7 linked regions of the Coturnix japonica genome follow. The protein of the gene in region 3 interacts with the protein of the main gene of each other region in a pairwise test. Links are inferred from orthologs where the notes say so. Each region holds a gene or a part of one and is shown on either strand. Other genes may lie near its edges.

The links.
Region 1: the proteins of ATF4 (region 3) and NFE2L2 interact in binary tests that used the Homo sapiens proteins (3 or more experiments, as listed by UniProt). The link is inferred for Coturnix japonica from reciprocal best matches to the Homo sapiens genes ATF4 and NFE2L2.
Region 2: the proteins of ATF4 (region 3) and JUN interact in binary tests that used the Homo sapiens proteins (3 or more experiments, as listed by UniProt). The link is inferred for Coturnix japonica from reciprocal best matches to the Homo sapiens genes ATF4 and JUN.
Region 4: the proteins of ATF4 (region 3) and CEBPG interact in binary tests that used the Homo sapiens proteins (3 or more experiments, as listed by UniProt). The link is inferred for Coturnix japonica from reciprocal best matches to the Homo sapiens genes ATF4 and CEBPG.
Region 5: the proteins of ATF4 (region 3) and BFSP2 interact in binary tests that used the Homo sapiens proteins (3 or more experiments, as listed by UniProt). The link is inferred for Coturnix japonica from reciprocal best matches to the Homo sapiens genes ATF4 and BFSP2.
Region 6: the proteins of ATF4 (region 3) and GOLGA1 interact in binary tests that used the Homo sapiens proteins (3 or more experiments, as listed by UniProt). The two-hybrid records come from large-scale screens. The link is inferred for Coturnix japonica from reciprocal best matches to the Homo sapiens genes ATF4 and GOLGA1.
Region 7: the proteins of ATF4 (region 3) and DISC1 interact in binary tests that used the Homo sapiens proteins (3 or more experiments, as listed by UniProt). The link is inferred for Coturnix japonica from reciprocal best matches to the Homo sapiens genes ATF4 and DISC1.

The regions. Positions count from the first base shown.
Region 1 is NC_029522.1:14,053,032-14,057,035, reverse strand, and holds the start of NFE2L2 (nuclear factor erythroid 2-related factor 2), read right to left. Parts: upstream 2,801-4,004; 5' UTR 2,656-2,800; coding exon 2,626-2,655; intron 2,503-2,625; exon of another isoform or gene 2,385-2,502; intron 1-2,384.
Region 2 is NC_029523.1:23,599,187-23,603,190, forward strand, and holds JUN (transcription factor AP-1), read right to left. Parts: upstream 2,595-4,004; 5' UTR 2,071-2,594; coding exon 1,126-2,070; 3' UTR 501-1,125; downstream 1-500. UniProt on the Homo sapiens protein: Transcription factor that recognizes and binds to the AP-1 consensus motif 5'-TGA[GC]TCA-3'.
Region 3 is NC_029516.1:46,171,320-46,175,319, forward strand, and holds the start of ATF4 (cyclic AMP-dependent transcription factor ATF-4), read right to left. Parts: upstream 2,801-4,000; 5' UTR 2,597-2,800; intron 1,637-2,596; 5' UTR 1,539-1,636; coding exon 1,325-1,538; intron 793-1,324; coding exon 1-792. UniProt on the Homo sapiens protein: Transcription factor that binds the cAMP response element (CRE) (consensus: 5'-GTGACGT[AC][AG]-3') and displays two biological functions, as regulator of metabolic and redox processes under normal cellular conditions, and as master transcription factor during integrated stress response (ISR).
Region 4 is NC_029526.1:8,926,415-8,930,627, reverse strand, and holds the start of CEBPG (CCAAT/enhancer-binding protein gamma), read right to left. Parts: upstream 2,801-4,213; 5' UTR 2,689-2,800; intron 1,855-2,688; 5' UTR 1,750-1,854; coding exon 1,294-1,749; 3' UTR 1-1,293. UniProt on the Homo sapiens protein: Transcription factor that binds to the promoter and the enhancer regions of target genes. Binds to the enhancer element PRE-I (positive regulatory element-I) of the IL-4 gene. Binds to the promoter and the enhancer of the immunoglobulin heavy chain.
Region 5 is NC_029517.1:39,194,949-39,198,888, forward strand, and holds the start of BFSP2 (phakinin), read left to right. Parts: upstream 1-1,140; 5' UTR 1,141-1,229; coding exon 1,230-1,676; intron 1,677-3,940.
Region 6 is NC_029532.1:8,061,999-8,065,235, reverse strand, and holds part of GOLGA1 (golgin subfamily A member 1), read right to left. Parts: intron 2,975-3,237; coding exon 2,817-2,974; intron 2,353-2,816; coding exon 2,194-2,352; intron 1,670-2,193; coding exon 1,610-1,669; intron 820-1,609; coding exon 649-819; intron 420-648; coding exon of another isoform or gene 402-419; exon of another isoform or gene 104-401; intron 96-103; coding exon 9-95; intron 1-8. UniProt on the Homo sapiens protein: Involved in vesicular trafficking at the Golgi apparatus level. Involved in endosome-to-Golgi trafficking. Mechanistically, captures transport vesicles arriving from endosomes via the protein TBC1D23.
Region 7 is NC_029518.1:35,652,806-35,656,736, forward strand, and holds the start of DISC1 (disrupted in schizophrenia 1 protein), read right to left. Parts: upstream 2,801-3,931; 5' UTR 2,724-2,800; coding exon 2,648-2,723; intron 2,617-2,647; exon of another isoform or gene 2,500-2,616; intron 1,834-2,499; exon of another isoform or gene 1,756-1,833; coding exon of another isoform or gene 1,731-1,755; intron 1-1,730. UniProt on the Homo sapiens protein: Involved in the regulation of multiple aspects of embryonic and adult neurogenesis. Required for neural progenitor proliferation in the ventrical/subventrical zone during embryonic brain development and in the adult dentate gyrus of the hippocampus.

The sequences.
Region 1 (4,004 bases), on a different chromosome or scaffold from region 3:
TTCAGCCAGGATCATGAAAGGAGCACACAGCATTTCGCTCTGCAAATTCAAGACAAAGAGGAAAAAACCTATAAGAACTGAAGTATTCAGGGGCAAGAATAGCTAATAATAATCTGATAATTTTAACAGTGATCTTGGCTGTCATGGTGATACATAACCTTCTGTATTGTCATTTAGGATAAGTGCTATACTCTCTTTGCTTTTTTCGGTTTAAGAAAGAAAAAAGTAATGGACAGAGAGCCAAATTTTATTCTAGCTCATGAACTCTGGTGGGAAACATACACAAAGCTTCCCAACCACCCACACACTCCTATAAAAATGTCTCAAGTTCTTTAAAGCACGAGATGATCCAGCTGCTCTCTGCTTATACTGAATGTTCTATTTTGTCCCAGTTTGGTCTCTTCCACATATTTTTCCAAAAAAAAAAAAAAAACCAAACAAACAAAAAAACAACCAAAAACAAAAACCCCAACTTCCAAAGCCAAAGTGCTCTCCTACTTTGAGTTCTAACCGCAAGCTTCTTCAAGTCCCATTTTCAAATGCAACCAACTCCTTGTATTTCAAACAACTTCTCATGCAATGTAAATTCCCAGCACATTTTAAATACAAAATACAGAACAGCGTCCATACGATAGATATGTACTACAATAATAAAATATCCAATTAGCTGTTGCATTGAAAGGATTCTCATGGTCATCTTTTATTAGTCTACATTTCTTTCAGCCACAGGTACTGCACTGCATTGTATCTACCACTGGTTTAACTGAGAGATATTCTGAAGTTCTGAGGAAAGATTTTTCAGTGCAGCATGATAAGCAGGGTAGGCACATCAGAATTAAAAGGGTCTAAAAAATGCATTTCTACTTAAGACAGTGCTTGTAGTATTCTTATTACTTCCACCACTCTTCTCTGTAATTTTAGGAGTCATGGAATCATTAAGATTGCTCTAAGACCAAGTCCAACCATTCACCTAACATCACAAAGTCCATTGCCAAACCACATCCACAGGTCTGTTAAATAACTCCAGCAATGGCAACTCTACTGCCTCCCCAAGCAGCTTGTTCCAATGCCTAACCACCCCTTCCATGCTCTTGATATTCAATCTAAGCCTCCTTCAGTGCCACTTGAGGCAGTTTCCTCACATCCTATCTCTTGTCACCTGATAGAGAAGACCAGCACCTTTATCACTGCAACCACCTTTCAGGCGGCTGTACGGAGCAGTGAGACCTCCCCTCAGCCTCCCCTTCTCCACACTGAACCACCCAGCTCCTTCAGCCTTCAGTTCCTTCTGAGAGACCAACAAAAAACATAGATGTTTTCTGATACCGAAACGTATCCACATATATAGATGGACAAATAGGTATCCATACAGATATCTTAATCTATCTACAGACACTTATGCTTAACAGTTATTGAGCTAAAAAACACATCAAAGGCCTGTTGTCAGGCCTGAGCGGTGCACTCATTTGTCACTTCCTGCATGATCGGTGTCGTATGGAAAGAACAGCCCATTATGGAACAGACATTCACTAGACAACCTTATGTAGTACGTCACAAAAACAGACATGTGATACCTGTGTAAAGCCCTACAGACTAAAGAGATACCTCTAATGTAACTAGAAACTCTTTTCTAGGTAGAAAAACCCACGCACTGAGCAGATACTCAAGTACATGGTTACACTGGCCTTCACTTTTAGTGTTCAGTGCAAACACTACATGAGAAAGTAATCTTGCTCACCTTCTCACAAGGCTCAGTGCTTAGTGAGAGCTGATGAGTTTGTCATGTTGTCTGACAAGGCTAGAAGCACCAGGCCCAGCCATTTCAGCACCTTTCAGCTTACTGAAGCAGTAAACAATTATGGGTACATAATGCTTTTGTGAACTTGACTTGAAACACTTTGACTCACGTTCCAGAGCGTTTTTCCTCAGCAGTTTTGATACCTGTGTCATTAGTAATAGACAACATCCCAAATGAATCCCATCCAGCATTCCATTTAACCAATAAAAGATAATCCATTAGCTACCTAAAGACACAGCGCCTTTACAGTACAGATCTGACACAACCCGCGGCTGTGGGGCTCGAGCAGCACAACGCGGACAGGTGGCCCCACAGGAGGAGACACAAGAGTCGCCCCGGCCCACACCGAGGAGGACGCTGAAGTGATGCGGGGTCCCTTCCATCGCGGCCCCCACGGCCCCTCACAGAATCACACCCTCCCCGCGCCCTTCTCGCCCCGCACCCCACGACCCGACACGGGCAACACGCGGTTGTGCAACTGCCCCCACTGAGGCCGCGTGACAGCGGGAGGCCCTCAAGAAGGAACCGGACAAGTATTCGGGGCGGGGCCGGGCCGGGCCGAGCTCCCCCCTCGCCACGGACTGACCTGGCCCCGAACTGCGCAGCGGGCAGGGAAGCACCCCCCGCCCGGGAGACGGGGAAAGTACCGAGGGGGCGGGGCCCGGCCCCCGCCGTGACTCAGCGCTGCCCCCGGGGCGGGGCGGCACCACGTGCCCCGCCGGCCTCGTGACCGCCCGGCCCGCCCCGCCCCAACGGCCGGGACAAGAGGGAGGGGGAGCCGGGGGCGCGCAGCCCCGGTTCCCGCCCGGTGCCCGCGGCGCCCTCACCTGTGCGGCGGGCGGCAGCTCGATCTCCATGGCGCGGGGCGGCGGCGCGGACTCGGGAACGGCGGCGTGGAGCTGTGGAGCTGTGGCGGCTCGGCCGGCACCGCCCGCGCTCTCGTTCCGCCGCTGTTTGGGGACGGGGACGGCCCGGCCCGGCCCGGGCCGAGCCAGCGGCGACCGCCGCGCTCCGCCCCGACTCGGCGCAGCCACTCAGCGGTGCCCGCGGAGGCGGCTCCTTTCCCGGCAGTGGCGGCGGTGCCGGGAACGCGACCCTCCCACGGCGCCGGGCACCGCGAGCGGCCGGTTGTTCTGTCAGCACTGCTCTCGGCCGGCTGTTCTGTCAGCACTGTTCACGGCCGGTTGTTCTGTCAGCACTGCTCACGGCCGGCTGTTCTGTCAGCAGTGCTCTCGGCCGGCTGTTCTGTCAGCAGTGCTCTCGGCCGGCTGTTCTGTCCGTGCCTCGGTACGTTCCCCAGGTGTGTGGTTTCACCTTCTTTTCGTGTTCTACGTTATTAGTCCGGTCCCGAAACACGGCTACGAGCCACTGGCAGTCTGCTACATTGACACTAAAGGCACCTTTCCAGGCTCTTTCTGGTTGCGTCCTCCACACGTGCTTTCCTATTACATCAGGCTCTCATCCCAGGGTACTGTAATTCCCTGGTACCTGTGGTTTCTTGCACTGTAACCCCCGTTAATACTACGGGTGTCGAAATAGTTGGCGTGCGTGTCTCAGCCGGCTGACTTACAGACCCGAATCTCACGTGATGCTTTGGGAGATGTCATGGCAGTGCCCGTCCTATGGGATGGCAATGCTCCTCGGTCAGATGTTCTGCTGGCACGGCGCTGCCTTAGAAGAAAACTCGATTGCTAGTGGCTTTCTTGCACTTAAAGCGAGCCCTTAGGCATGAGAGGGACTAACGTTTAACGTTATCTGATAGCGATAAGAAAAATAGGAATGCCTTTAAATTAAAAAAGGAGAGATTTCAGTCAGGTGTTTGGAGGAAATTATTTACTGAGAGGGCCGTGAGGTGCTGGTGCCCCATCCCTGGAGGTGTTCAAGGCCAGGTTGGATGGGGCTCTGGGCCCTGATCTGGTAGTTGGCAACTCAGCCCATGGCCAGGGGTTTGAACTGGGTGATTTGGCAGGAATTTTCCAACCTAAGGCATTCTATGATTCTCTTCACTCTTATATTCCCTGGCTTGTGCTTTAGTGTGGCTATTCATCCAGGTATATTTCATGTAGTGTTTGCTGGGTGTTGCCTACATCTGGTCAAACAATGAATCCACCCCTGGCACAAAAAAAAAAAGATGAAAATCACAACAAAACCATGTGGAATACATGGAGAATTCACATTGTTTGAGCTGTGTTCAATTTGCTATTGC
Region 2 (4,004 bases), on a different chromosome or scaffold from region 3:
TGAAGTCTAGAGCACTTTTGTTGCAAAGGAAAGCAAACAGCCCCTTGCCTGATCCTGCTCGAGGGCATTGGCTTAATAAAAAGCATGCAAGAGCACAAGCAGCCAGATACAAGTGCAAAGCAGTTTCACACACCGGCTTTCTACCATCTCTAGAGCCTGCCTAAAGCCAAAGTCAGCCGCCCCAGCAGGGCCACTACAACACACAATAACCTCCCAGGTTAAGGTTAGGAACTGGAACTCCCAGACAACTCAAAAAGTTCTGTTTGCTCAGTGCTCAGGATCTGGTTCCCCCCGTCTCCTCCTCACACGTTCTCCAGGACATGCCTGCACTTACAGAGCGAGTTTCACATAATCCCTGCCCTTTAGAGTCCAGCATTAAGGGCATTTTCCTAACTCACATACTAGCAATAATAATAATAATAATAATAATGAAAAAGGTGTGAGGAGGAAATGCATTTTAAGTATTTTATTTTTTTTTAAATATAATAGAACCTTCTAGATTTTTTCCAGAAACAGAAACATTAAAAAAATTATACTTTATTACAAATGGTAAACTCAGAGTGCTAAAAAAAAGCCTCTTATTTACAAACAATACTGGGCAGTACCCAAATAAACAACATAAAAATAACTTACAAAGTCATGAAGTAGTTTATTGACATTAATCAACTTTCATAAAATAAAATAAAAAAGGATATGTACATACACCATTTACTTGAAGGCAGGAACAACAGTTCTTGGTTGTTTATCAGCCTCCCACAAACCTCCCTCCCGCTTTTTGTTTGTTTGTTTGTTTCTTAAGGAATACTACATGAAGCAATCTACAGTTTCTATTGCAGTTTAACCTTTAATACTGAATGATCATCGAATGTTAGGTCCATGCAGGTCTTGGTCAATGTTAAACGAAGATCTGTCGCCTCATGGGAGCAGGATCAGCACCTCGGAGCGGTGCCGGCTGCTTCACCAACTCGAGCTGAAGGCTGCCCAGTCTTTGCACACATGTGCTTTGCAGCACGCAGGCAGGACTCACAGCCTCCCAGCTTCTACCGTGAGCTTTACGCGTCCGCCGCTTTTGGTTTGTCGTTTAGTTATACCACAACATCACAGTTCCTATTGAAGTCAGTCTCTTCAAAACGTTTGCAACTGTTGTGTTAGCATTAGCTGGCACCCGCTGTTGACATGGTTCATGACCTTCTGCTTAAGCTGTGCAACCTGTTCTCTGAGCATGTTGGCAGTGGATGCCAGCTCTGAGTTCTGGGCTTTCAAAGTTTTCACTTTTTCTTCCAACCTGGCAATCCTTTCCAACTTCCTTTTCCGGCATTTGGACGCCGCGATTCTGTTTCTCATGCGTTTTCTCTCGGCTTTGATTCTCTCCTGCGACTCCATGTCAATAGGGGACAGGGGAGGGGTTTCCCCCGGCATTTCAGGTACAGTCTGAGGCTCTTCTTTCAGAGCCTGAAGCCTGGGATGCTGCACTGGCATCTGGGGGTTTATGTGATGCTGCGGCGCGTAGCCCATGCCGTTGGCATTGTAGTTGGGTGCGGAATTGAGCGCGTTGGGGTTGAAGTTGCTGAGGTTGGCGTACACCGGGGGCTCGCTGTGCAAACTCGTGTTGAAGCTGCCGCCGCCGGCCATGGAGGACACAGGTGCCATGCCACCGCTAACAGGTTGCGCGGCCGAGGTGACGCTGGGCAGCGTGTTCTGGTTGTGCAGTTCCGCCAGCGCTCTCACGAAGCCTTCGGCAAACCCCTCTTGTTCGTCGGTAACGTTCTTGGGGCACAGGAACTGCGTCGGGGTCGGCGTGGTGGTGATTAACCCGTTGCTGGACTGGATGATGAGCCGCTCCAGCTCCGGGGAGGCCAATTTCAGCAGCCCCACGTCGGGGGAGGTGAGGATGTCGGCGTTCTTGTTCCGCAGGTGCGGCTTCAGGCTGCTGGCCGGGTCGGACAGGTTCAGCGTCATGCTCTGCTTCAGCACCTTGGCGTTATTATATCCATAACCGCCGCTCTCCGGCGGCGCGAAGCTGGCGTTCAGTGCATCCTCGTAGAAAGTAGGCTCCATCTTTGCACTCATAGAACAGAGCCCAAAAAGTGGCGCCGGGAGCCGCCCCACACCGCTCCCGGCCAAGCGGCTTGGGGGGAAAGAGCAAGCCGGAGCCTTCCTTACTTCTCGCCGGGACAACGCCGCTCCTCCCGGCGCGGGCCGGGCCCGCCGGGCCTACGCTGTGCGCTGTGCGCTGTACGCTGTACTCTGTACTCTGTGCGCTGTGCTGCTCCCCGGGCCGCCTCTCCGCGCTGTGCCGGGCCGGGCCGCTCCTGCCGCCGTTGCCGCTTGTACCTCCCGGCTCCGCGCTCCGCTCGGCCGTGCCCGCTGTGGCGGCTGATTCTCGCTGCCGCCCGCCCCGCTCTGAGCCCGCTCGCTCCGTGCAGCCCTTCACTTATCAGCGACCGGGAGCCCGCTAAAAATAGCCCATGATGTCACCCCGCGCGCTCCCCATTGGCTGCCGCCGCCCGTCCCGGGGGAGGCGTGGCGCTGGCCCGGCGCGGTGCATGGCAGCCGGTCGCCATGGACACCCCGCCCCTAGAAGCTTCTCAGCGCCGGCGCGGGGCCTTGTGGGATGAGGTAATGCTGCCGGCGGCGCGGGGCATTGTGGGCTGACGTCTTGTTTTTGAATATCTGGTTACCGCGGCCCGAGCTCCGAGCGGGGTTGGGCGGCTCGACGGCCTCGTACCAACCAACCGCTGCCCTACCGGGTACCGGGGCACCGCGATGCCGCCCCGAGCCGCCCCGCGCCCTCAGCCCGTGCGTTGTGCTGCGCTCGGGGCCGAGATGCTGCGTGCGGCGGGGCCGGGCCGCGCTCCTCCGTTCCACGTCGCGTTGAGTCCCGCCGCATCGCCGCCTCCTCCCCCCCCCCGGTCCCGTTGTTGGTACGGCCCTGAAGGTGGCGCTCCGGGGGAGCCCTCACGTGATTTCCCCGCCTCGCTGCCCCCGCCGCTTCCAGGCAGGGCCGGGGCGGGCGCGCACAGCGCCGGGGCCGCCCCCGCCCCGCACGGGGGCACAGCGCAGGGCGGGCGGCGCTGGGGTGGGGGCGGCTCGGCCTCGTCTCCTCCCGTCCCGGGGAGCCCCGGCGGGCGGGGACGGGCGGCCCGGCTGCCCTCAGCCCCGCCTGCCTTCAGCCGCTGCGGTGAGCGCTGTGTCTGTTCCCAGGGCCGGGAGCTCCCCAAAGTATGAGAGGGGAAAAAGCTGCCGGGAAGGAGCCTGGCTCTGGATGGGTTTTCCTAAAGTTGTCCTCCCGGTTGTAGAGCTGTGCTGGTATTAGTGTGTGAGCGCAGCTTGGCCAAGGGGAACGGCTGGAGATGGAGGGATCCGGTCGGGGAGGGAGGTTTGTGCTGCTCCACAGCTACCGGGGACTCGCAGCTCGGCTGATGGACGGGACGGGAACCCGGGGCAACAAGTGCTGCCGCTGCTGCTTCGCTGCTGGGCTCCATCGCTTTGTGTGACATACGAAGCTGACAAACTTAAGTCTCGGTTTGAAAATGCACTTTAAAACTCTTAAGTGCTATTTTTTTTCTTCTAGATGTAATAACATAATTAGCACTTAAAGTACGGGAGGGAGCAATGTAATAAACAGAATCAAAAAGAGCTGTGAATTAAAAGTGAATGTCTGGATGCACTGACTGATAGAAGTTACTGCTCCTTTTATAGAGTCATCTCCCGGTCCTCCCTGCTGTGCACACCTGGCTGCACTCAGTGTATCCACTTCACCCATGTGCTGGAATCACACAGCCAATACCTGTGCATGTTTGTGCTAACAGTCAAGTGAATTAGTTTGCCCACAAATGTGGGCCTTAGTGTTTGCTGCAGGTGTGTGCACAGCCTTCAGGTAGGCAATGAGCACCTGTGTGCAGGTAATTCCAGCTGCCTCTGTAGCTCCAGCAGCAGTTACTGCATGTGTATAGGAAAGCCTCTGAAAGTCGTCTGTGTTAGAAGCAGCTTCCTAGCTCCAT
Region 3 (4,000 bases):
TCAAGTACTGGATTTCCTTACTCAGGGAATCTGCTTTCTCTTTCAGGGCCTGATTTTTCTGTTCCAAATCTCTGCACTCCCCTGACAGAGCCTCCTGTTCTGCCCTCTTCTTTTGCCGGTAACGTGTGGCAGCAGTCTTATTTTGCTCCATCTTTTTCAATTTCTTATCTATTTTCTTTTCTCCTTTCACCTTTGCTGACACTACCTTCTCAGCAGGGTGGTCATATGGTTTAGAACGCAGAGAGCCACGGGTGGCATCTGCAGGGAACTGGTTGTCATTAGGGGATCCAAGTGAATTGGTAGGACTGTGCTGGGGCGTTCCCAAATAAGAGTCTGGGCTCATGCATATTCCACTATCATCAGAATGGTTCTCCTCCTCTTTCTCTGACTTCGTGATCACTACCAGAAAGGTGGGGGCCTCCTGTTTCCTTTCACCTTCCAGAACATCCACTTCACTACCTAGTTCTAAACTAAATGAATGGTCTGGAACAGAAGTCAGAGACCCTGGGGAGAGGGGAAAAGGCCACAGGGAGCCTAATGGGGCCATGGGATCTACTCCAATTGGAGATTCGGGGAGATTGGTGATTAGATCAGGTATGAGTGGAGGTTCTTTGTTGTGAAATTCCTGGGTGGTAGGGTTAAACAGGAGATCACACGTGTCTTCCAACGTGGCCATCAGGTCGTCTGGTGAGACGGTGGCTTCCAGATGTTCCATACCTAACAGGGCATCAAAATCAAATTCCTTCAGATCCATCTTCTCCACCATCCACTCCATGCCAGAGAAGGCATCCTCTAAACAAGGAGAAAAACAGTATATTTTTCGATGAGCCAACACAGAGATTCTATACCAGTTATACCAGAAATAGTTATATCTTCCCCCATTCTTTTTAATGGTAAAAAGATCGACTACCAGACCCCTTCCCCCTACTATGAACTGGGGAAGTCTGCATGATACTATGTATCTGTCAGCTGCTGACATTCCATCCCTCTTAGTCTTAGCTCTCTAAGAATTCAGGCCTATTTGAAACACACCACCACACTTGTTTCTTGTGACCTCTTCCAGGGAAGGCTACTCTTAATAGTTGGCATGTTATTAAAAGGGCAATGCAAGTGTCATTTTTCCACAGGCTGGTCGACTACAGAGCCATTTGCTATTGTGTATAATCAGTGTTGTATGGATGCTTCCCAGGCCAGAAGACACATACGTGATGTTACCTTTCCATTTAGAGAACTCGTGCAATTTATCTTTGAACAGGAGGATTACATTATTTATTATGTGCCATCACCTTTGGTGTTACTTCCTGCACATGAATTAGTGCCTTACCCTGGCTGCTATCTATGGTGTTGCCTAAACTGTCCACAGTGAGCCAATTGGAGGAGACTGCCTTAGCCTTGTCGCTGGAGAACCCATGCGAACCGAGGGGCTCGGCCACCTCCAGGTAGTCATCGAGGAGTCCCAGACCTTCCTCAGCCACCAAACACGGCTGGCTGAGGGGGGAGGACTCCCCCAACAGCATCTCGTTGTTCAAGAGGCTCATCTTGGTCAGGTTTTAGCGCTTTGACGTCAAAGGATGTAGACAAGGAGAGGGCCTTTTTGTTGACTACAGCAGTGCTGCTGTGCGGTGCCTTGAAAAACCTGTAAGACAAACATTTTTCGCATGCATCAGTGCTTGTTCTACTGGAAAAACAGCCTTCACAACAAAACGCAGCCTCAGGGAGAGTGCTGTTGCACCAGACTTGTACGACTGCAGCATTTTCAGGGCTGTTTGCCTCAAACTCTTGCTTTTTATTTGTTTGCTTTCATAAAAGCTTTTCTATTCGCATCTCCATTGCCCAGCACGGCATTGCCAGCCCCACGCCCCGCCGAGGCCCCGCCCACCGCGCCCTGACTCACGTCACGCCCACGCCGCAGCCATTTCGCGATCTGCCGCCTACCGCTCCCCACCCGGCCCCGCCGCCATTTTGTGCCGTGACACGTTTTCACCCCGTGTCGATGGGAACGCCATCAACGTGGAGGGGTGGGGGGGAGGGGAAGGTGACAGGACGATAGAACGACAGAGCACCTTTTGGTGCTAGGCTGACTTATGGACCAGGTGGATTCGGATGATAAATACCACGACAGCCTTACACCCTTCTATCAGGCTGGGTTCGACACCATTCCCCCCCCCTCCCCCCACAACCCTCCTCCTCCCCCGGCCAGCAGCGCCGTAGCATTAAGGGATTATCTTAATGCCCGCTCGTTGGAAGCCCCGTTTAACTCCTCCATCCGCTGTGGGAACGCCTCTATAAAGACAATCCCCTATACTACTAAGACAACCGTCTAGGGAGCTAATATTCTCACAAAAGCCTTACAAAATAGAACAGCCCTGAGCTTTCAGGATGTGGGCTTCTCTAAAATACAGGGTATTATGGCTCATTTTTCCTCTTAAAAGTGTCATTTCCTGCCATTTCCGTCACCCTCAAGTAGGTTTCCAGCCCCCACCCTATTAACCAGACAGCTTTTCCTATGGGGCGTCCGTTTCGCACCCCAGAACCCCGCTTTATGAAGCAGGGGGTGGCTGTCACACAAGGCGCACTCCCCACACGCGCTACTCACGCCATGGTTGCAGATGCCGGGGATGTGCCGAGGCCGCCGCCGCTGCTGCTGCGCCCGCTGCACTGGCCGATGCCGCCGCTGGCCCTGCCGCCCTTAGAGAGCCATGGCGGCTGGGGGGGGGGTTGGTTGGTGCTCCGGTCAGCGCCGCGCGGAGAGGTGCTACGCACGGTCACAGTTACAACCTGTCAGCTCAGCCAAGGGCACACAATGAGGTGGCAGCGCGCGCGCTCCGCTTTTATATACCTTCACGCTAATCAAAACGAGATCCGGCCTGATGTGTCCTTCCGCTCTTCGTCACCCGCCTCTCGTCAGCACCCTTCAGCCTGTAGACCTTCAACTTTCTGGGCCGCTCTCGTTCCATCCTGCTAAAGATTAACCAAAAAAGCTGTCAGCAATAACTTTTCCCTCCATCGTGGGCTCCTAGACAGAGGGACTATATGGTGTTCCTCCGCGCAAACACCGCCCAGCCGAGATGGGAGGCCACGTGATACAGCAGCTGAGGACACTCCTCCCGCCCGCCGCGGAGCGCAGGGGGATGTGGGGGGGCTGCTGCTCCTGCCCGCCAACACAGCCAGTGAGCTCTGCGCGCCGATTGGCTGGTGGCGTGGTAACCGTGTGAGCGCTGAGCCGCCATTGGCTGACGCCCGAAAAGGGAGAGATGGTGAGAGGCACGGAGAACGAGGAGCCGTAAAATGGCGGTGGCGCTGGTTCTATTCTCTGCTTCACATTTCCGTGGCGTGTTCTCTTTGAAGCACCACGCCTCCTTTGTTACTGACAGCTCTTTATGCCCTCCACACGAAGTCCTGTCCGCTCTCCCTGTGCGTTCTTAACAGCCCCTCCAGACGACGTCCAGCAGAGTTGAGGGCAGAACTTTGCTGAGGAGAGTCACTGCTCCCTCAGATAAGTGGAAAACTCCCTGCCTGCTACTTGCCCCACAGAGATAGGGCTGTGTGTTTGTGTCCCTGACACCCTGCTAGCTTTGTAGCTGAGCTGTAACATTGGCCTGGGGTGGTTTGTGAGGAGATGCAAGAGCAGCCATTACTCAATGGAGGAGAGCATTAGTGGGTCATCTACACAGCCTCACGGCCCTAGTAAACAGCCTCACCTTGGGAAGGTTTTCAAGCAGGTTTGCATTATGTTTTATCTGAACTAAATCAGCCAAATGAGAAGGCAGCCCTGCTCCATCACGTCTGGCCCTGTATGTTTATAGCAGCTCCTCTGGTCCTCACCTAGCCCTGTATGAAACCCATGGGGAACAGATGTTTTCAGTCCCCTCGTGATTCTCTGAGGACACTAAAGCACCATATGCAGCTCTGAGTGAGGAAGGTGAGCTGGGAAGGTTGCTACCCATGTTTTCTTTCACTACCTGGCCTTTGGTTGCTTTCCCACATTACCAGCCCTACA
Region 4 (4,213 bases), on a different chromosome or scaffold from region 3:
ATAGGGGGAAAAGGTAGTGTAGGAGGGAAATTAAGACAGTGTAATAATCCACTAGCCAGACACACAGGTTAAATGTAACACAACCATACCATCAATGAAATACTTAAAAATGAAAATAAATTAAGGTTACGCCAAAGTTCCTGCTTTACTTTTGCTTTTAAAATCCTCAATATATAGTTCATACCACTGCATTATGGATCATGGCAGACTTTATCACTAGCATTTGAAAAACTGCTATAGAAAAGCTTCTATGGAAATAAGACTGAAGAAACTCCTTCACACAACTGTGATGGCTACAGAAATTCTGCTGAATCAAGTGTTCAGACAAGGGCCATTAGTTTTCAAATCACTGTGCATTTCTGTACAGGCTTGGCTGAATGGCTGCGAGAATGGAAATGAACAGAAGCAAGCTGAGATCCACACATTCTTGCTGTTCAGATGCTGCCCTACCCTTCTGTTGCTCAGCCAAGCTGCGCATTTTGTTCTCCCTGATACCGCCACCCCAGCAGGAATGCGGCTTTGCAGAGCAGAGGTTGTTGGTAGCATTTTTACATGTTTTAGAAACCAAAATCTTGTTCTCATAACCATGCAAGCCAGGTTAACATACGCAGGCATAAAAGGCCTTGTGCTGCTTTACCTGATACTTAGTGCTTCAGACCACTGCTTGCCCTGTGGAAGCCAACTCCCTGTAAAGATCATTATAGAATGTTGTTGTTCTTCTAGACAACATAAGTACCCCAGCTTGCTATTACTGTGCCCTGCCTGTTAACTGTAACCAGATAGGAAAAACCTAGGTAGTGCTTTGCAGGAATTGCTCTGTAGGTAGAAAAGCAGTTCACCAAACAGGACAACAAACTCCCTACGGTCTTTGCAGTTTGTAATATGTAATGGAGAAAAGAAACAGCTTAAATGCACTAAAATGTATTTAAAGGAATTCACCCAATTATGACTTTCTGATTCTACAGTGAACCATCCTGATGAATTTCTCCCTATGCTAAATGTAAGAAGGTGACTGTACATCTGTGAAATGCTGTTTCCATAATAGTAAGCTCCTTGCTGACTAAGGATTCAGATCTGCACTTACTACACAAATCTTCTAGAAGAGAAAAATATTTAACGCCTTTAAAGAAATACCCTAAGCAGTTTCTGGTTTAATTGTATCAAATCTTCAGTGTTAAACCTAAAAAGATCAGCACACAATGATGGTTAAAAGAACCCCTTATTTGTTCAGTTACTGCATGGGTGGTGCAGACAGGCTGCGCCTCCAGAGTTCATCCCGCCGTGCTGTGGCAGTCACTGCTGCCCACTGTTCTCTGGATTCGTTGTGGTGCTCTCAGTGCCAACAGGTTGCACATTGTCTGCGAGACTGTGTGCGTGCTCAAGGAATAAGTCTTTCAGTACACTCAGCTCCTTGGTCAGGAGCTTAATTTTCGCCTCTAAACGTTCATTTTCTTCTTTGAGCTGGGTGACCCTTTGCAGCGTGTCTTGTGCTTTCTGCTTGCTTTTTAACCGGCTCTTTTTCACTGCCATGTTGTTTCTCTCTCTGCGCTGACGATACTCATCACTGTTTCTATCCACAAAGGAATTTTTCTTTCCCTGCTTGCTCGGAGGCACAGCTTTGCCTCCACCACCAGGACTAACGGGAACCAGCTGGGGAACCTGCTGCAAACCACTGCTGTGCGCCTGGGTGTGAATCACGCTTACTCCGTTCGCATCTGTAGCAGTGTTCTGTGGGGATGTCTTGCTCATTTGGACGGGCTCTTCTTTGACACAACCGAATATCAGAAGACTGAGAACTCTTTTCTAGATCGTGTTTCCAGCAGGTCTCCACATGGGTTAAGGGCAAGGTGAACCCTGAAGGAAAAACAAATGCTGTTAAAGGTGCTGTGTTCAGTCTTACACATGGCTGCCTTTGGCATAACGTACCGATGGCACATCTGGCAGCAACACACCAAAACTGTGCTGGAAGTGGAACGGCTGCCAACTGCTGGGACATTTCAGAAGCCTCTCGAACATATTTGGATTGGAAGGGACTGTTACTGGGTCATCCAGTCAAGCTGCTTGCATTGTTCACTGCATTTACTCAGTTATTCCAAAGCCATCCCTGATGGATGGGTGTCTAGCCTAGCCTTGAAAAATCTCGTTTCACAACCTCTGTCTTGGCAACTAGTTCCACTGTCTAACTTTTCTCCCAGTTATATAATTTTCTTAATTTTTAGACTGAATTCTTTCTTTTGCAGCTTAAACCCATTAACAGCCTCACTCTTGGCCAACAGGAGTGCTTGATCCTTGTCTCCTCCAGACCATCCTTCTGCATCCATGCACGTTCCTTGGTGGTCTTTGCTCTTCTCTAGAGACAGCTCACGCTCCCTTGAACATCTCACCACATCTTCCAGTGCTTTCACTGGCTGTGAGATTATTTTACTTGTTTTTGAAGATGGAGCCCAAACTGATGATTAAGGTTTCAGCAGAACTCAGTGCAAAAATGCACAAGAAGAGGTGGTGCGTGCTGTGACGGCTGTGACTGAATGACCCAAAAGGAAACCCTCCGCCACAAACAAGGTAAAGCCAGCCAAGCCTTTAACGCTGCTGTGAGGGCAGGTGGGACAGGAAAGCAGGGTGAGAGCAATGTGAGAATCACTGCACTTGAAAGACAGGACTGACAAGGAGACATGGACCACAGCTGACCTGCCCACAACACACTTCCTCCGCTGTGTCTCTCCCAGCCATCAGTGTCCATGCTCCTCCCCAGCAGGATGCAGACAGTCTGTGGCACAGACACCCTCCCACCTGGGGCTCTGCCTGCTCCCACTCCTGCTGGAGGTACAAGACTCCGGTGCTGCCACAGCTCCTCTCCTGTCCCCAGGAGGAGCCATTGGGAAAGAGCAGCTGAGGTCAGCAGAGCACAAGGCGAGCTGAGCAGTGCCCAGCCCAGCCCTACATCTGACAGGAGGCTGTAGTCCTGTGTGGCAATGCCCAGCCTGTATTCAGGGGCTCCTCAGCTGCATGCTGCTCCTGTATATGTTTTCCACCACAACCTCAGTGTCATTTTACATTCTGCTGGGTTATCATTAATGAGATAAAAATGTTACTGTCAATTGCACATTTTCTTTCATCATCTGCAGGAACCTGAACTGAGTGCAGCTGCACAGCGCGGCTCAGTGACATTCACAGCAGAGCCCAGTAGTTTGGCTTCAGTGTTATTCAAAATCAACATTCTGTCACCATTTCGGTCACTCCCTTAAAGCCAATGAAAAAGGTGTGAGAGTCGTGTGAGTACAACCACACCCCTCAATGCATTTTCCTGTTTTCATATTTCAGGACAGAAGGATGTCAGGGCAGACATCAGACAACAGGCCTCCACTCCAGCATGGCACTGCTCTGCTGGGCAGCCCAGCTCGCTCAGATGCCACATCTACCACCTGTGTTGTGTTCACTGCAGAGAACAGGCAGCCCTGCCCTGGGAGCATCACAGCCCACCAACGCCTGGCAAGTTCCTTCACAGCACCAGGTTTCACTTGCTATTCTCTCTTTACTATCAAAACTATTCAGTATTGTTCCCAGATATGCATAAAATCTCTATCTATGCCCCTGCAATCCAAAGGAAAAAATGAAGCGTTCCATTAAATTGAAAAGTAATGGGATAGTTAAGTTCTCAGTGAAGGGGAACGTGGGTTGAGCAGGGAGACAGAACCCAAGTGTCACATCTCGCAGGCTGTTGTTAGCCCTGATGCACAGATCTCCCCCAGTTCCTGACACTGGAGCTTCCCCATGCTGTGTTAGCTATTTCTTCAGTGGGACACTCTCTCTGGTGCTCATGTGGCAGCTCCGGGCTGGTTTCTCCCAGCGCTGCTGTTTCTCCAGCGGCCGGAGCTGCCCGGTTCCATGTCGGCCTGTGGCTGCCACCCACCACCACCCAGCAAACACAATAGCGGCAGCCCGGGGCTCCGCTGGCCGCAGCTCCTTGGGGATGTGGAGTCCCAGGCACATCAGACCCTTAATAAAGGGCTCTGCCTTCTCCCCAAAGTTTGACGTTTCCAAACGTTTGGCTCGGTACAAACAATAATAATTTGTTAATTAGATCGTGTTGGTTGTTTTGGTTACTCGGCTGCTCTGACACTGCTGCTATAGCCAGTTGTGTGCCGCCTCCCCTGGCGGCCCCGCACACGTTCCCGGCCGCTGTAATGCCCGGACCGCGCCGTGGGGACGTTGT
Region 5 (3,940 bases), on a different chromosome or scaffold from region 3:
CCACTGGGGTCTGCAAACTCAGCAGGGAGGCAGCAGGAAAGCTGGGACAGAGCAGGACGATGAATGAACCTAACGCACCCATGAGGTCCAGGAGATGGGCAACCCACCTGAGCGATAACATTGCTCAGTGACTTTTTTTATGTTATCTCTCTCAGATAGGAAGACCTGAGCTCTAATTTTAGCTTTGAAAGTGTTTTACAAGAGCAGAAACCAGAATGGCCTTTTTTCTTGCATAAATGCCCTAACAATTACACTTTGGACACGCAGCTGCTCTTCTCCAGCCCAATGAGTCCCGAATTACTTCCCACAGAGCAAACAGCCTCTTAAGAAGGTGAGTGTCCCCTTTGTAGGAACAGAAATCTCCGCAGTGTTTTGAAGCAAACTGGCATTTCAGTCCTACCCAGTTAAGCAGCAGATTGCAAGCTGTAATAGTAGTGTGGGAATAGGAAAGGCGAATGAACCTTAAATGGTGGGTTAGAAATGGACCGATACAGGCAGAGGGTAACATGGAGTGTGGAATGACTTTGCTAAATCGAGGTTCTCTCTTTGAGTGAACCTGAACAGTTACCACGGGACCAATTTTGGGTTTTGCTCTATAAATTGCCTTTCTCACTTTGCTCAGCAAGTGGAGCGGCTTCTGTCCCTTGAGGCCTCAGCCTTCTCGGTGTGTCAAGTGGAGACGTGAAGGGTGCGGTGTCCCTGATCTGAGACTGCTGGGCCAGGGCTGTCCATAGAATGAGGAGGGATTCAAGTCCCTGCATCAGCAAAACGCAGAATGGGCATGACCACAGCTCCACAGCTCAGAGGTTGGTTTTACTTAACTTTAAGTAACATCTTGCTGCAGGAGGGCCTGTCAGGAGTAAGCGAGCAGCCAGTGTGTTTGTAATTCATGGATGGATGGATGAAGGCAGGAGATCATCCAGGCGTCAGCGCAGAGAACACGGCTGGCATTTTCACACGTACGTTGTCATGAATTCCTGCCCCGCTGTGCCCGTAAACACCATTGTGCTGTTCATCTGCCACATTTGCAGCAGCAGCAGCAGGGAGATTTGCCCTGAAATGGATTGCTGACCCAGCTGCCGCCGGGACAATGCACAAAGCCCGCCTTCCAGAAAGCCGTCGCACAAAGCCGAAAGCCCCACCGAGCCCCGACCTGCTGGGCTCGGCACATCCCTCCGCCAGTGCGGGGCTGGCGGCGGGGCTGAGCGGGCGGCAGCGGCAGCGGCATCATGCCCTTGCCCAGGCGCCGGTCGTCCTTCCTGGGGCAGCAAGCCCCTTCCTCCACCGCCGACAGCGTGGGGGGCCCGGGGCGCCGGGTGAGCGTGGGCAGCCTGTCGAGGCCGCCCGGGGTCTACGTGGGTGCCGTGCCCACCGGAGGAGTGAGCAGCTTGGGCACCCGCGTGTCCCGCCGAGCGCTGGGCATCAGCAGCGTCTTCCTGCAAGGGCTGCGCAGCTCCTGCTCCGCCGTGCCCCTGTCCGCGGGGCTGGAGAAGGGCAGGGGGCTCTCCTACGAGAGCCTGAACGGCTGCCTGGTGGAATACATCGAGAAGGTGCGGGCCCTCGAGCAGGTCAACCAGGAGCTGGAGGAGCACATCCGAGTCTACCTGGACAAGAAGTCCTCCAGCGTGGGCAGCTGGGGAGCGCTGCGGGAGAGCTGGGAGGCCGTGTACCACCAGGTGAGTGCGAAACACGGCTTAACCTGATGGTGCAGCCAGTGCGGAGGGTGTTAAGTCTGTCCTTGTGATAATTGCAGCCTTATCGCTTCACAGCGTGCCGTGGAAAATGCTTATGTTAAGGAGGAGAATTGCCTGAGGCATCCTGTGCATGGGAGTGATTGAGATTCACCCCAAGGTGCCACACTCGGCTCCTATGGAAATGGGACAATTCTCTAATATTTTTCTTCCTTAGCTGTGGTTATTAAGCCAAGAATCAAAATTATTAACAGGAAACTGCTAGGACTGAATTAGTTTATCCATCATCATGATATCATTACAAGCCTGTTAGTCATGTTGGTGCTTTAGGTTTGTTTTAATTAGCAATTCAGATTTTTACTTTCTTCCCTCGTTTGCTTGATGACACTTCCCAAAAGCTCTATTTATTGCAAAATAATCATGACATGACTGCAAATGAGCCACTCCATCCCTTCGCTTCCCACTCTGGCCACCCCCTGCACCCACCTCTCTTGATGTTTTACAGCAGTCTTAGAGGGGGCAGTTCCTTTAGGACCCTGTTGGATCGTCTTTGGGAAGCTTGAAAGGCGGCTTCTCATTCCCCAAGAACTTCTGTGCTGTGCCACGGGCTGGCCAGACTTACACCTCTGGCTTAGGAAAGAGGGTGTGTTGTTAGTGTGCTGCACTTTTAGGGCTGCACCCAGAATGCCTCAGATGCCGTCTGAACCCCTTGTGCAGTGGGATATTCTATGACAGCGTAAACCTCCACCACCTTCACATTCAGCTGTGAGGTGGGGTTGTTAGCTTTTAACTTTGCGTGCAGGCAACATTTCAGGTTTTACAGAGTACATATCAATCTCCCCAGCCTCAATCCAGGTGCTACTCTTCCCAAGGCAATGCAACAAAAGGCCACTCTTGCTGCCTTCATGCTTTTCTCCTTTGGGCTCTGAAAGAAGGCTGAGCCGTGAGAGGCTGGCTAAAAGCATTGCAACTTCAGTGCTTGGCACCTGATCAGCAACATGAGCCATTAGTCTGGCCTATAGGAGTGTGTTGGAGACAATGGTCTGATAGAAACCATTTATTTCAGCATTTGGAAGAAAAGATTAAGCCATGAGCTTCTGAAGTTTTCCTGTAAAGGCATCTTGCGTAAAGTTAAAAGCCTGAATATTTTCTGTTACATGAAAAAGCAACACATGAGACTCGTTAACACACCTGAGACCATGGACTCAGCAGCATCCAGAAAGGATGCACTGAACTCAGCTTCTCTGCTTAGTGATTTACATCCCTCTGAACTGCTCCGTACATATTTGCTGGCAAGATGTTCCCTGTTTCCTCGAAGGCTTTCATTTTCCATAGACATTTGGTCAGATACTGCAGCTGCGTGGGCTCACTGCTGGAGGCAAATGGACTTGTTTTGGCAGGTCAGGGCAAATCGCAGGGCAGCGTTTGTTTACGCTGAGTAGAGCGAGGGGAAAAGTAGCAGCTTCATCCATTCATGTATGAGTGGCAGCAGGAGGGCAAAGTACAATAATTTCTGGAGAAACTAAGGGGAAAAAGCAGATTCCAGGATCAGATTTTCTAGAACTGAGGAGAAGAAAGAAGATTCAGTAAGTGTTGGTCCTTTCTCCATCCTGGAAGGCCCCACAGCCCCAGAATGCCCCAGAAGGGAGTACCTGGGGCTCAGTGCTGGTCCAGGGAGGCTGCAGTGGAGCAGGGAAGAGGAAATAAGAGTCTGAGTGCTGAAGATGAGCCATCTCTGTGTGCTGGAGAGCACGTAAAGTTCTTGTGGCTGGTCTGGCTGCTGTGCCACAAGGCATTTTCTCTGCCCGCACCTGTAGCTTTTGTAACATCTCTGACTTCTGCGCTTTGAAGGTTTCTCAGACCTAAAGTGAGGCTTTTTTTGGCCCTGTACTAACTTCCACCATGGACACCTCAGTGTGGGGCGTAGGTTATTCCTCCAGCTACCTCCTCGTCCTTGAGTTTGTAAGAATTCATGGCAGTGAGCCACTTTTTGTAATGATTGATGTTAATTACAGGTACCAAGTTTTCAGCATTGCATTTCCCCCTCCACCCCTTTAGTGAGCAGCAGGCGTAGGAGCAGGTAGGAGGACCACACTACAGCACTGATCCCACTGGCAGTACTTAGGATGACTTGTCTGGACACAGCCTGGATAACCCATGTTGCACAGTGTGTTTCACCTTGGGAGAACAGAACACTTCAAGGGATTTGCCATCCCATACAGTCACAGACTTAATTATCCAAAGTAAGA
Region 6 (3,237 bases), on a different chromosome or scaffold from region 3:
ATCCTTACCTTGTACTCCAGGGTTTCTTTAAGCATATTTTCTTCCTCTTGGGAAAAATTCAGTAACACAGACACAGCCTTAATAAGATGGAATGCCTGCAAGAGACCACAGTGTCTTACTGCTTGTGATGCTCTCAGCCTCTGTGTTCTGGACTACAGTGTGACAGTTTTTCTGCAGGCTCAGTCACAGACTTTTCAGTTAAAACTGCAAAGAGCAGAACAGTAAAACCTTCCACTATGCCCTATTACTTGGGGAATATAAAGGAGCTCCAAATGCACAAGGAATTATCTCTTATAAGTATTACCTCAACAGCGTGTGCTTTATATCCTTTCTGGTTTCTCTTGCTATCTTTCTTATGTACACAGCTACTATAACCTCATATACTCCATATGCTTTTTAGATTAGTACAGAGGGAATGCCTCGAAGCTTCATGTCTTTAACTTCTAGACATAACTCACTCCCACCTTTCATTTAGTTCCTAATGATCTGTGCTCCCAAACATGCTGCTGTTTTGCTTTATTGTGCTGCATCAATTACTTTTTATATGCAGAACTACTGAGCTGGCATGGAAGTACCAGTTGCCAGTTTCTAAAGACAGAGAGACTTAGAAGACAAGCATACCCAACCCATCTTCCCAGGATTCTTTACCTCAGACTCCCGACAGGACATGAATTTTAATACAACATGTTTAAGGTACTCAAAGTTTATCTCCCTCGAGTCATTTAAATCAGAGTTGTTTGTGACAGTCACAGAAGCATTAGGCACTTCAGAATTTGTTTTTTCACGTACTTCGGGTACCTCACTGTCCGGCCTTATTTTCTAAAGAAAAAAAGAAAAATCAGTTGTGTCAGTTTGATGCTGGGAGAAAATCTGGGTCTGAGATACCAAATACACAGAGCATTTGTACCCACGAGACGGGTACAACCAGGGCATCAGTAGGATAAGCTTCTCATTCTTCAGGTGATGACAGCAGAGGAGTGTATCTTTACACCTCCCTAGAGAGATCTTAATTGCTGTCAGTTACATCTGTAAGATCCAAACCAGGAGAATTGGCTCCAGGCTAGAAACTGACATCTGATTATTGTTCTTTCACCTGTTCTGTGCTTTTCAAATACACAGAATGCAATTCTCAAGTTCAGGCAAAAAAACCAAACATCACAAAATTTGAATATTTTAAACCCTCTTTGAAAATGTTTACAATACAGGGACTTTCTATTGGAGAGGGAAACTATTTTAAGAAGAGCTTCCTCCTGTGGCTGAATTTTAGCTGAATGACAGCCGAGAAGCAACCACAAATCTCAGTCATCCAATATATGGAAACATTTAAAACCAGACACTACCAGATACAAGTCCCTAGCTGAAATCCAGTGTTGCAGTATCTGAATAGTGATGGCTACCCAACACATCACCTATAAAGTAAATACAGACCCAGAATGACATATTTCCTTATATTAAGGGTGCACAGATTTGTCTGCAATCACAACGAAACTGTGAGCATTCCTAGTAAATAAACAAACAAACTGAGGCTTGCAATCAAGTCTTTGGAATTTCTACTGTAAGTACCTTTCAGCAAATGCCAGCTGGGGAGACTGAGAAACCGAACACTTACCAACTCCTTCTGGAGAGTTTTTTTCAGTTCTGTCATTCTTTGCTGTAGCTGCTTTATCATCTGTAAGCAGAGCAAAAGATGGCATTAATACAGCATTCAGTGTTCGGGCACACGTTGACACAGAAGTATCTGAAGAGAAAACAAGGTGAATGAATGTAAAGAATAAAGCATTCATTAAAGAAACTGAAAGCTCCAAAGAAGCAATCTGGACAACTCACAATTCTAACTGCCAATGTTAGCAGGTGTGCAATAGGAAACTTGGGCTTCAGTGTGACAACATGATAGAAATTAATCAAATTCAAACAAAAGGGAAGCAGGAAAGCTGTAACTGGTGTCATCTGGTGCTTCTTTTCTCCAGAATAGGTAAGGAGCAGAAGCAGAAAGTGTCACAGAGATTTCTCTGCAATTCTGGCTGCAATTTCCATTCACTACTGCTTTTACAGTCCAGGCTGGGGAAACACTCATAGAACGCTGGATTCAGATTGGATCTCTCAAGATTGTAAGCCTGTTCAGGCCTTTCTAAAGCTTTGGTACCTATTATTAGGCTTCCTAACTGCAACAGAAACTCCTGCTTTTTAGTTTACCTTGTTTTTCTCAACAACTTGCTGTTCCAGCTCTCTGTTATCCTTCTGAAGTTGAATGACATCTGTAGCTGTTACCTCTCCATTCTGTTCTATCACACGATTTTCTGGAAGATGTAAGTGCTCATCCAAGTCTCTTGCTGATTCTTCTAGTTCTGAAACCTACACAAATGAAAACAGCAAATTGCAGAGGTATGATATTTGCAGCCCATTAACAGTCTTCAGGGAGAAAGCAAAACTTAATTGCTTTTGTATGTCTGTTTTGGTGTGTGGGAGTGGGAGGATAGCGGTGGTTCTGGTTCTTTTTTCACTGTGACCCATTGCTTGTTTTGTAAACCAGAAAGCAGTACTGATAATCCATTCCACATCACTCAGTGGTGTGTGCTTTTTGGTGCTTTTGGGTCTCTGCCTCCTTTAATCCCCTCAAGACATTTTATAAGTGAAATAAAATAAATTGGTGTCTTTCACAAACTAGTCACAGTTGTGACAGCACACAGCTTTCTTGCAGAAGATGGGGAACAACAAATAATGGCATATCACCAAGGCGTACCAGAAGTGGGATCTCCTGCACACCTACTTATTTTCCTGAGAAGTGTAAATAGAGTAGCTTTGTAATCGGCTCTCACGTTTTTCTCATGTTCTCTGGCCAATAGGAACTCCTGTATCTGTAACTTCAATTCTTCTATTTCCTTTCTTGCTGTTTCTTCTTTCTCCAGTGCCTGGTTATTACATGCCTCTATTTCAGATTGTAACAGATGTATTTGCAGGAGTGCAGCTTCATGATCTAAGGATGAAAAAACTTGCTTAGTACAAATCTACTGAATCAAATGAGATTTTCTCATTATTTTTCTTAGACAGAACTTAGTGCAACAGTAAATCCTGACCTTTTTGCTTTGCTCTATAACAAAGACCCGGAATTTAAACCACCCAAGCTCACATGCATATTTTTGCATAGGAGCAATCTATCTCTTCAAACGTCAGAGTGATTTTAATACTTAAAAGCACAATTAGCAATTATACCTCTTCTAAATGAACACAAACCTCCAC
Region 7 (3,931 bases), on a different chromosome or scaffold from region 3:
GGGAGACTTGGTAAAGAAACATCTCTCCCTGACAGCACTTTTCAGGTGAGCAATTAACACAACCTGTGCCTATATGACAAAACAGAGCACAAAGCACACTGTTAAATGTTACACTGAATTAAGTAAGCACCTCCAAACAAGGATACTACAGAACTTCACACAGGCACAGCAGCCTTTGTTCAGTACCAGAGAGCCAAGTTTTTCCTGTGTGACTGCTGATTTACAAAGGACACATTCATCCCTCACACATAAGGGTTTTGCAGCAGTTTGCCTTCGAGAACACTGAGTAGTATTACAGCATACCCCAGGCTCAATCCTAATCCAGGTGACACAGCAAGAAAGGGCTGCTCTCTGCAAAGAGCTAAGGATGAACTCGGAAATCTCTATGGCAACACCACAGGTTCCTCCCTGTTTACCTTTGGGCCTGGTACTCCAAAGGAAGCAAGGAAAGCTGTTGTCACAGGAGGTGTTAATATGTACAACATCCAAAAGCAGGAAAGGCTGCAGACTGCCCGCCACTCAATTGGGATGAACATTTGCTCAAGAAAACCAAATGCCAAAATGAAAAGAAAAATCCTAACTCCTGATGAGCACTCAGGGTGCACCACACACTCCAGTAGATCCCAACTGGGAGGTCAGGTGGTTCGAGAGCTGCAGGAGGCCTGAGCTACGGTGAGCAAAAAGAAAAACCTACCCGAGTGTGCCTAATTTGTGAACAAAGTCAGAATTAACCTTCAGGGTGCTCTGCTTTTGTGAGTACAAAACATTGTTTGCGGTGCTTTTCCGTCCTTCTGTTCATTACAATTAATTCATACTGGTGTTAATAAATCCTCTTTTCTTGCACGACTCCACTACAATTCCAGAGGCAGCGTCTTAGGCCCAAACTTTCTGACTTCATTTTGCTGAAGGGAACAAAGGTTGATTTATGTGAAGTTAAAGAGGGAAGAAGCCAGTGGCAATACAGTGCTTGTCTATGACCACACTTCAGAGTGTTGTGCTGCTGTGTAACTCAGTAGTACAGTGTATGCCAGTAGGTTATTTTCACTGGCCAATCTAAAGGAACTACACAAAAAATGAGTAAGTTTAACAGCAACACAAAGCAAGAAAAAACACACAGAGATGGACACCGACAATATCAAATGCACAGAACATCTGTGGGTTCCTTTACATCCACCAGTCCCACTTTTTAGAGGATCACAGACCTCTAAGCTCAGCTAGTTGTCTCTTTAAATCACATATTTAAACACCTTTCTTCTTAGTTTCAAAACTGCCTAAAAATCCTATTGATAGGAAATGATGACTGGAACTCGGGCTGTAACACCACCATCAGTCTCTTCCCAAAAGAAACCACAGCTTTGATTTCAGCAATAATATGGGGGAACACTGATATGAAATAACTACCTAGACTTGGAAATTACACAACACAAAAGTGAATAAAGAGGAACTTTTCTTCCATTTTCACAAGTTACTGAAAGGCCAATTGCAAATTAGCAAGTAAACGGACAAATATGAAGAGACAAGAACAGAGATAATGCATCTCAAGGTAGTTTATGCATCTCTTTCAAAACTCTATTTTCAATTGCCAGCAGTGCTTGCCAGTATATGCTCACTTATATGCATAGAAAAGCTTTTATTATAAAGGCACTTCACTAAAGAGCTCTTAAAGCACTGTTCAGAAGCACAGCAAAAAGTTACTCAAACACATGTACACACAGATTAGCACGGATTACCCAACATCAATGAGCTGCTCTCCATTGAGATGTTGGCAAGGACAACTCAAGTGTTTGCAGGAAGTTTTGCTTTGCAGTACTGTGTATCCAAAAAAGCCAGAAAGTCAGCTGATGTGCCTGATGCATTCTACGCCTTCCCTTCTGAATCCCTTTGAGAAGATCGAGCTATTTTCTGGTGTTACCCACAGCTCCAGCCCCTCACCGGTACTACTATCAGAAATGACTCCTGCTCAGGCTGACAGCTGAGCAATAGAGGGGAGAGCAGCTCACCTGCTCTGCCAGCCACACCATTCAGTGCTCATTTATGCAAGGACTGACACACAAACGTGGCTTTTTCCCCACGAATATGGCAGCTTCCTTTTTAAACCAAGTTCGGAGATACCAGACTGCTGACTTCTAAGAGCATGTCTACTTCCCTCACAGCAGTTGGTTATGTAGATGTATATACATATACACACTCACTTATATATGTTTGTGTATATACATACAAACCTACAAATCACACACATTTATGTAGTAATATAATTGCTTCCACACTAACAGAGGTGGAATTTTGGGGTTAAAACAAGGAGGAAGGAAAAAAAAAAAGTGTTATTTCAGAGTTATAACAAAGTTTCCTAGGCAACACCGTGCTAACCCTCGCCAAGACAAAAACTCCGGGGAGTGAAAACTAAGCAAGCAAAGCGGGTTTGAAACTAAGAAGCAAGCAACGAGTCTTTGTATCTAACCCCTCCGCCCGCACCGAGCGTCCCAAAGCCGCCCTACCCACCCGAAGCTCGGATCCCACTCGGAGCCCCTCCTGCCTCGGGGAGAGCCGCTGCGGGACGGACCGGGCACCGTTACAGCCCCGCTGCGCTCCCGGCCCCCGGCCCCCCTCCCAGGCGCTGGGCCGCCCCTCAGCCCCCGGCCCCGCTCACCTGGGCCGGTCTCCTCCCTCCCGCTGCCGCGGCGCCGCCTGTCGGTGCCGTCCGAACGGGGCTGCGGCCGCCACATCCCGCCCCCCGGCGGGACGAAGCGGCTCCCCCCGGTCGCGTCGAGCGGGGCGGAAAGCGACGGCCCCGGCCACTCCCCCGGCGGCTCGGAGCCACGGGGCGCGGCCCGCACGACGGCACCCGCCGCCCCTCCTCCGGGCCGGCCTCCTGCGAGCCGGGGGCAGCCTCAAGCCTGCAGCGTACGGGCTTTGGACTAGCAGGGGGAGATGGAGGTTGGGACCCGAAGCCCCGACTGCAGATCGTTTCTGAATTCAGCACGGCACGCACACAACGAGGAAACACGCTGCTCATTGTCTATATGTAGTTTCAACTTGGCACCAGTGTCTGCACTGTGTGTGCTTCCATTACTTCTCATAGAGTCACAGAGCAGCTTGGGTTGGAAGGAACCTTAAAGCCCATCCAGCCCCAACCTCTTGCCCCACATCAACTCATGCTGCCCAGGGTCCCATCCAACCTGGCCTCAGGTACCTCCAGGCAGACAGCTGTGCCAGGGCCTCACTGCTCTCCCAGCGAAAAAAATTCCCCTGATATCTGATCTAAATCTTTTAATTAAAATCATTCCCCCTTGTCCTATCGCTATTACTTTTGCAAGTCTGTGATCCATTGAAGTCAAACCACAACTTCACTAAGATCCTCCAGTCCAACCATCAGCCCACCCCCACCATGCCCACTAGATGACATCCCTTGGTGCCACGTTTCTTGAACACCTTCAAGGATGGTGACTCCACCACCTCCCTGGCAGCCTGTGCCAGTGCCTCGCTACTCCTTGGGAGAAGACATTTTCCCTGTTATCCAACCTGAATCACTCCTTGGCTATCACCATATTCACTATATCAACCATTTTTCAGTATTAATTTCATGTTAAGCATTTTTCAAGGTGCCCTCCATCCTAGACTTCAAAGGTGCCTTCTCAGTTATGCATAGTGCTACCATACATTAAAACATCACCTTGTGTGCTGAGAAGTTTCTATGACATTCAGAGACACTGCTACAGAAAAGCCTCGCTTTAGTTGACAGCTAAGAGCTTACTGATATTCTTGTGTTTCAGTCCATTTATTAAGAAATACAGGACGTGTTAAGAGAGATGTAACCTCATACTCCAGGCTCTGCCCTTCCTGACTTATGAGACAATATAATAGACAGCTGTGCCTCACAAGCCAAAAATAGACACACATCCTCCTTTCATCAAATGTGCAGTGCTGCTGCTGA